Linked DNA regions of Sus scrofa. The protein of the gene in region 1 interacts with the protein of each later gene in a pairwise test. Links are inferred from orthologs where the notes say so. Each region holds a gene or a part of one and is shown in the gene's direction. Other genes may lie near its edges. The genes, in order: FBLIM1 and CUTA.

Region 1 (3,808 bases):
CCCCTGTCTTCCAGGCAGGCACTATTAAGGGTTCTGGTTTTTATTGTACTTTTTGCCCAATATTGACATTTACTACACCTGTCATATCACAGATCTTTCCCTCTATTACCAATTTTTTCTTTAGATTTTGACTGCTTAATATTTTTTTTTAAACTACACTATCTTTGGAAAGGTAGTTTTAGATTTAGAAAAATTGCGCAGAAAGTGTAAGAGTTCTAGAGCTCCTGCTGTGGTGCAACAGGATCGGCAATGTCTCTGCAGTGCTGGGATACAGGTTTGATCCCCGGCCCATCACGGTGGGTTAAGGATCCAGCCGTTGCCACAGCTGCAATGTAGGCATAGGTTGTAACTGCAGCCTGAATCTGACCCCTGGCCTAGGAACTCTGTATGCTGTGGGGTGGCCAAAAAAAAAAAAAAAAAAAAGGAGATTAAAAAAGAAAGTGTAGAAGTTCTCGTCATGGCGCAGTGGTTAACGAATCCGACTAGGAACCATGAGGTTGCGGGTCGGTCCCTGCCCTTGCTCAGTGGGTTAACGATCCATGTTGCCGTGAGCTGTGGTGTAGGTCGCAGATGCGGCTCGGATCCCGAGTTGCTGTGGCTCTGGCGTAGGCCGGTGGCTACAGCTCTGATTGGACCCCTAGCCTGGGAACCTCCATATGCCGCAGAAGTGGCTCAAAGAAATAGCAAAAAGACAAAAAAAAAAAAAAAAGTGTAAGAGTTCCGTTTACCTGAATCTGACTAGGAACCAGGAGGTTACAAGTTTGATCCCTGGCCTTGCTCAGTGGGTTAAGGATCTGGCGTTGCTGTGAGCTGTGGTGTAGGTCGCAGACGAGGCTCGGATCCCGCGTTGCTGTGGCCCTGGCATAGGCCAGCAGCTACAGCTCCGATTGGACTCCTAGCCTGGGAACCTCCAAATGCTGTGGGTGCGGGGTCCTAGAAAAGGCAGAAAGACAAAAAAAAAAAAAAAAAAAAAAGAATCCAACTAGTATCCATAAGGATGATCCCTGGCCTCGATCAGCTGGTTAAGGATCCGACATTGCCATGAGCAGTTGCTCAGGTTGCAGATGTGGTGTGGCTATGGCGTGGGCTGGCAGTCGAAGCTCTAACTCATCCCCTAGCCAGAGAACGTCCATATGACACAAGTGCAGCCCTAAAAAGACAACAAAACAAAACACCCCCATGACTTAACTTTGGAGCTTTGCTCTCAAACACCAGACCACATTGCCTCCCCTCTGAGCTGGAGCCGTATCGAGTGGTAGCAGCACACGTCTCTGTGAGGCTCCATCCCTGCCCTCGAGTCGCTCACTTCCCACAGGGAGGGACAAATGTGCTTAGTGAGAAAGGAAAGAAGAAAATGAAATACAAGACGCATGAAATGGATCCCTCTGAACACACATGAGAGTTCTCTGCTTTCTCAAATTCCAGCCTTCCTTGGTCACTTCTTTGCCTTGAGCTAATTATACCCTGGGAAGCCAAGTCTAATTACCCGGGTCTCTCCATCCACTCCTGCCAGGAAGAAATAGGCATTTGTGGTTGTAGCTTCAGGTGCAGTTGCATAGCACCAGGTCTGAAATAGCTCTGGGAGGTGAACGTGAACCGCCCAGGGTTCTGACAGCTAATTTCTATGGCCGGTGGCGTGAACACCTCCAGAGTGTGGGTTTCTCTCCCTCTAGGAAATTCGCCCCTGTGTGCAGCATCTGTGAGAATCCCATCATCCCCCGAGACGGGAAGGATGCCTTCAAAATCGAGTGCATGGGAAGAAACTTCCATGAAAATTGCTACAGGTGTGAGGTGAGTGAAACAGTGATGATTTTGTAAGTTGCTGCAGATCCTGTGTAACTGCCGCCCCAGCCCTATTGAGAACCAGGCCCTGGGGCAGGACAAATCCTCTGCTCTCAAATTTCTTCCCATCCAACACAGAGACAAGTAAGGTTGGAGGGAATCCCTGTTGTGGCTCAGTGGTAACGAACCCAACTCGCATCCATGAGGATGCAGGGTTGATCCCTGGCCCCTGGTCAGTGGGTTAAGGGTCCGGCATTGCCCTGAGTTGCTATGTAGGTAGCAGACGCAGTTTGGTTGGGTCTGGTGTGGCTGTGAGCTGTGGTGTAGGCTGGCAGCTCCAGCTCTGATTTGACCCCTAGCCTGGGAACTTCCATATGCCGCAGATGCAGCTCTAAAAAAAAAAAAAATAATAAGGTTCGAAATGATTACACACGTAGTCTATTAATCAGAACTCTTTGAGTTAATGATAGAAACCAAGCTCAACCTTCTTTCTGCAAGAAAAGGGATCTTCCAGCAGGCTCTGGGTGGGGACATCCCCGATAACATCCTGGGGCTCTCTCCACCTCTCGGTTCTCCCCTTTTGTGTGTTTGCTTCATTTTCTCTTCTGTGGGTTGGTGTCCTCCCACAGAAGAGAAAAAGGCAGGGGACACAGGGCATGGTCATGGCTGGCTCAGGTTTATATCCTTCCAACTTGGAAACCATACCCAGGATCCCACATAGTCCCAAGAAGGCTTCTGATTCACCCACCTTGGGTCACGTGCCCATTCTGGACCAATCGGTGGTCAGGAGCTATGATTCATAACCTCTGGGGCCAGGGAGGCAGAACTCTTATGAAACAGACTGGGGTGGATACAACCATAGGAAGCAAGAAAAAGATGCTGGGCAGACCTACACCACAAGTGTCCTTCCAGGTACTAAGAAGGAACTTATATAAATCAACTTTGGGAAAAAGAAGGCAGTGAGCAAGTCTAACGAGGTTGGTGCAGTTGAAGGCACTCTTTTTCTTTCTTTCTTTTTTTTTTTTCTTTTTTGACCACACCCACGGTGTGTGGAAGTTCCCAGGCCCGGAATCAAATCCCAGCCGCAGCTGCAGCAGCACTGGATCTTTAACCCACTGCTTTGCAGTAGAGACAACGTCAAAGGCACGCTTATAGGAGTTCCTGCCATGGCGCAGTGGGTTAAAAATCTGACTGTAGTGGCTTGAGTCGTTGCCAAGGTGCAGGTTGGATTCCCAGTTCTATGCATTGGGTTAAAGGATCTGGCATTGCTCCAGCTGCAGTGTAGGTCACAGCTGTGACTTGAGTTCAGTCCCTGGCCCAAGAACTGCCATGTGCTGTGAGTGTGGCCATGAAATTAAAAAAAAAAAAAAAAAAGCCACTCTTATAGAGGAGGCATTGCTTAACCTGGGTTTTGCAGGATGGGTGGAAGTTTGCCACATATTCAGAGAGGGAAAAAGAAGTACAGAAAGAGGCAAGGGGAGTTCCCATTGTGGCTCAGTGGTTAACGAATCTGACTAGGAACCATGAGGTTGTGGGTTCGATCCCTGGCCTCACTCAGTGGGTTAAGGATCCGATGTTGCCGTGAGCTGTGGTGTAGGTCACAGATGCAGCTCAGATCCTGAGTTGTTGTGGCTCTGGCGTAGGCCGGCGGCTATAGCTCCGATTGGACCCCTAGCCTGGGAACCTCCATGTGCCCTGGGTGCGGCCCTAGAAAAGGCAGAAAGAGGCAAGGACCTGTAAAATCTCACAGTGGCATCAGTGAGCCTGAAGCATCGGGAGAAGTAGAAATTTCTAGGTGTGTCTGAGTACAGCATGGCGAATGGTGTGGTAACTATGGGGCCAGAGAGAAAGAAAAGACCCCGTGTGCCAAGCTAAGAAGTCTGGACCTCAGGCTACAGGGAGTGGGGAGGCTGGTTGGAAGTGCGTGCAGTAGTCCCAGCAGGAAATGCCGGGGAGTGGGGTGGAGGTGACACAGGCCCCACACTCAGAAGGCTCCTGTGCTTGGTTTGAAGCTCTGCTGTCATTT
Region 2 (3,634 bases), on another chromosome or scaffold:
CCAGACTCAGATTTCAGTGATTTCAGGGACCAAGACTTAAGACCTGGACTCAAAGAAAAAGGTGAAACCCAGATTGGGAATCCGGTCTTGAAGAGCTCAGACCCACAGAGAACTTATCAGCGACCCCAGCCCTAGATCTCAAGAAAAAGAAACTGCAGACTCAGAGACTGATAGCTTAGAGACACAGAAATTCCAGACCTGAGGACCAGGGGAAGTGGGGAGGTGGAAGAAGAGACTCCCATCTAGCCCAGAGATAGAGAACTCAGAGACCACAAACTCATAAAGAATTTCAAAGACCTCAGAGAGAGGGTGAACATGGACCCAGAAAAACCCCAAACAAAAAACAAGGGAACTCAGTCCTAAGAAAGATCCCAATGCAAATACTGCAAGACCCCACAGAGATCTATCTCAGCAGCAGACTCCAAAGCCCAAGACAGAGGTCTCAGGGAGATCCCAACCCCTAAGAACTACGTGTGCAAAAACTCTGCCTGGGGAATGCCCAGTCACACCCGCCCAGCGGAGCAGAGACCCCAGACCTAGGAGGGAGGGGGAAATGCTGGGTAGGGGAAGTAGAAAGAGCCTCTTTCTCCTTGCCGCCTCCCTCTTCTTTCGCCTCTCCTTGGCCCCTCTCTCAATTTTTGGGTCACAGGATACGCTTGGGCCCCAGGGAGGTTATGTAGGGCAGGTCCTGGCTCCTAGGGGGATGGGTTAAGGGAAGGAGACCCAAGACTGAGAAGTAGACAAGTCCGGGAGAGCGAAACAGGAAGGGGATAAGGGACGAAAAGACCAACACTATTTTCTGGTGTTCTCTCCAGATGCCCAACCTGCAGCCCTCCTCTCCCGATTTGCCAGTCTGTCTTCAGCTTCAGGTTTCAGTTCAGAAAGCTGAGGCGCCCTGGGTCCCTTTTTAATCACCCTCTATCCATTTTCAGGGACTCCCTATGTCTTTTCGAAGTGCATTCTTCCTGACCTAGCCATGGACTAGCTGCCTAATCACGCCCCCTACCCTAGAACAGAGTGCTTCTGAGCTCCTACTTGGGCCCCCTCAATTCTGGCATGTCAGTCCTGACCACAACAGCAGGGGGCGCTCCCTCTAGCCCCGAGGTCCAGCCTCCCACGGCCCTTGGGCTCCTTAAGGCCTCCGTGCAGGGGCTGTTACTAGGAGCATTCTAGGGCTTAAGGATGACTCCCCGCGCCACAACCTGACGCATCGACTCTGCGGGATCTCTAGCCCTCCTTTCCTAGAGCCAGTTCTCTCGTCACGTGCTCACGAGGGTGCTCCGCGATTGGCCTCTTCGCATAGCTTCTCGAGGTACCGCCGCCTGAGGGGACCGGCCCCCTCACGTGACAGTGGAAAGCTGCCGCGGCTCGCCTCCGCCTGCCATTGGCCGTTTCCGGCTTACACGGAAACGGGAGGGCCATTTCCGTGCACGGCTGCAGATCCGGCTGTTGATTGGCTGGATCCCCCTTAGCTCCGCCCATAGCTGGAGGCGGGGCAAGCCGGCCCACGTGAGGGCAAGGATTGGCTGGCTCTGGATGTTAGGGTGGCTCGGCTTGTCACGTGGTGTGCGCTGTTTTCTTATCACGTGGCTGTCGCCCAGGTAAGAAGAGGCCTCTCTTCCTGGGTTTGGGGTACTTTCTCCGCGTACCATGTGGTCTTTGATATTCTGCCCTCCTTTACCAGCATAGGCTGCATGAGGGGGGTGCGGGCTCCCGCAATCCTGCTCGGCGGAGGGGTGAGTTACCAGCCCCGCCCCTTCCGGTCCTCGGAACCTGGACCACTACCCGCTCTCAAAATCCTAGAGGTTGGCCCCGGAGGAGAGAGTGGACACCGAGTCTTTGCCTTAATTTTCACCCTTCTCTCCCAGCTTCAAGGACTTTTTTCTTTGGGGTACAGAAGGGGGAGGGCAGAGCCTGAGTGTCTATGCAAGCGGTAGACAGTTTCCTGGGGTGTTTATCGGGAGACACCGAATTCACCTCCTGCTCTCAGGCCACTCTGCTCCTGTCGCTTCTTTGGATGCCAGCACTGCTGCCCATAGTCTCCCGCCTTCTGTTGCTACCCCGAGCCCTGCTGTCCATGGCTTCAGGAAGCCCCCCGACCCAGCCCACGCCGGCCTCGGGCTCCGCCTATGTTCCCGGCTCGGTCTCTGCAGCCTTTGTCACCTGCCCCAACGAGAAGGTCGCCAAGGAGATCGCCAGGTGGGGATCTCAGTGTGGAGCGAGAAAGGATGCTCATGAAGGAAGAGTTGGGGGTGGAGAGAAGCAGCCCTCCCGCTGCTTCCTGCAAGCCAGTGCAAAAACCTGGGTTGTGGGGGCTCTAAATGGGGGTGTCTCCTCACGTTCAGGGCTGTGGTGGAGAAGCGCCTGGCAGCCTGTGTCAACCTCATCCCTCAGATTACATCCATGTGAGTCATGGGATTGGGGGGGTTGACCTAACTCTAGGGGCGGATTGGCAGTCTTTTTCTTTGGGGAAGATCTATGCTCCCACAACACTTTCTCCGTGACCTTTTCAGCTATGAGTGGAAAGGCAAGATTGAGGAGGACAGTGAAGTGCTGATGGTGAGAAATATTCCCCACCCAAGCAAAACTTAATTCCCTGACCACTTGCTTTGACCTTTACCTCTCCTCTGAGATCCTGAAATTAACATAATTTCTTGATTCAACCATGTTCCTCTTCACCCCTTAGATGATTAAAACCCAGAGTTCCTTGGTTCCAGCTTTGACAGATTTCGTTCGGTGAGAACTTTGATATGGGTAGAGGTGAGGGTGTGTACTGTGGGGTGAGCCTTGCTGGGCAGTCTGAGAGGGTGAGCGCCTTTGGGTAAATCTTTTGAGTGATCGCTGCCCCCCATCTTTTCTGCAGCTCTGTACACCCTTACGAAGTGGCCGAGGTGATTGCACTGCCAGTGGAGCAGGGGAACTCCCCATACCTGCACTGGGTGCGCCAGGTTACAGAATCAGTGCCTGACTCTGGCACAGTCCTACCATGACGAGCCTTTGCTCTTGCCAGGTTCCCCTTCAGTGTCCTCTGACTTTCAGGCCATGACTGGAGCCTTAATAAACCCTTAGTTCTCTCTGCCATTTGTCTCTTTCCTTGTCAAAAAGTGGATTTGTTGTTAAGGTTGGAAGTGCTTCTAGTTCCTTTGCACTCTTCTTTCAGAATGACTCTGGGCTGCTGAGTTTGTTCATGTATCTTTATTTCAATCATACAGAGCCCAGGATCCTTTATCCTCCTCCCCTCCTCAGTCTCCGTCCCAGGGGTTAAATAATTTTAAAAAATATTTAAAAAGCTGTAACAAAATAACATCAAAGGAAATGGGAAGAGGAATGGGGAGAGGGTCAGGAATCACAAAGGGGGTGGAGAAGAGAGGGCCTCTTCCCCGACCTCCCCGCCTGGATTCCAGCCTGGGCAGCAGAGAGAAGTACCCGCTACCGCCCCAGGTACATCCCAGCTGTAGGTGAGGTCAGAGGTCAGGGTATGAAAGTGCCGGCGTGTGTGAATGGGGAAGCAGGCAGAGGCAAGCTGTTCAGAAGATGCCCCCACCTCCCCACTCAACCAGGTACTGCACAGAGCCATCGGGCCGCACTCTCCGAGCCAGGACCCGGACGGGGTCCCCTCGGGACAGGTAGCCAG

The links.
Region 2: the proteins of FBLIM1 (region 1) and CUTA interact in binary tests that used the Homo sapiens proteins (3 or more experiments, as listed by UniProt). The two-hybrid records come from large-scale screens. The link is inferred for Sus scrofa from reciprocal best matches to the Homo sapiens genes FBLIM1 and CUTA.

Annotation. Positions count from the first base shown.
Region 1 is NC_010448.4:74,953,815-74,957,622, forward strand, and holds part of FBLIM1 (filamin-binding LIM protein 1), read left to right. Parts: intron 1-1,673; coding exon 1,674-1,791; intron 1,792-3,808. UniProt on the Homo sapiens protein: Serves as an anchoring site for cell-ECM adhesion proteins and filamin-containing actin filaments. Is implicated in cell shape modulation (spreading) and motility.
Region 2 is NC_010449.5:29,719,539-29,723,172, reverse strand, and holds CUTA (protein CutA), read left to right. Parts: upstream 1-1,500; 5' UTR 1,501-1,536; coding exon 1,537-1,601; intron 1,602-1,684; coding exon 1,685-1,736; intron 1,737-1,990; coding exon 1,991-2,199; intron 2,200-2,345; coding exon 2,346-2,405; intron 2,406-2,513; coding exon 2,514-2,559; intron 2,560-2,686; coding exon 2,687-2,736; intron 2,737-2,863; coding exon 2,864-2,990; 3' UTR 2,991-3,079; downstream 3,080-3,634. Other genes in the region: PHF1 (PHD finger protein 1), read right to left, coding at 3,528-3,634. UniProt on the Homo sapiens protein: May form part of a complex of membrane proteins attached to acetylcholinesterase (AChE).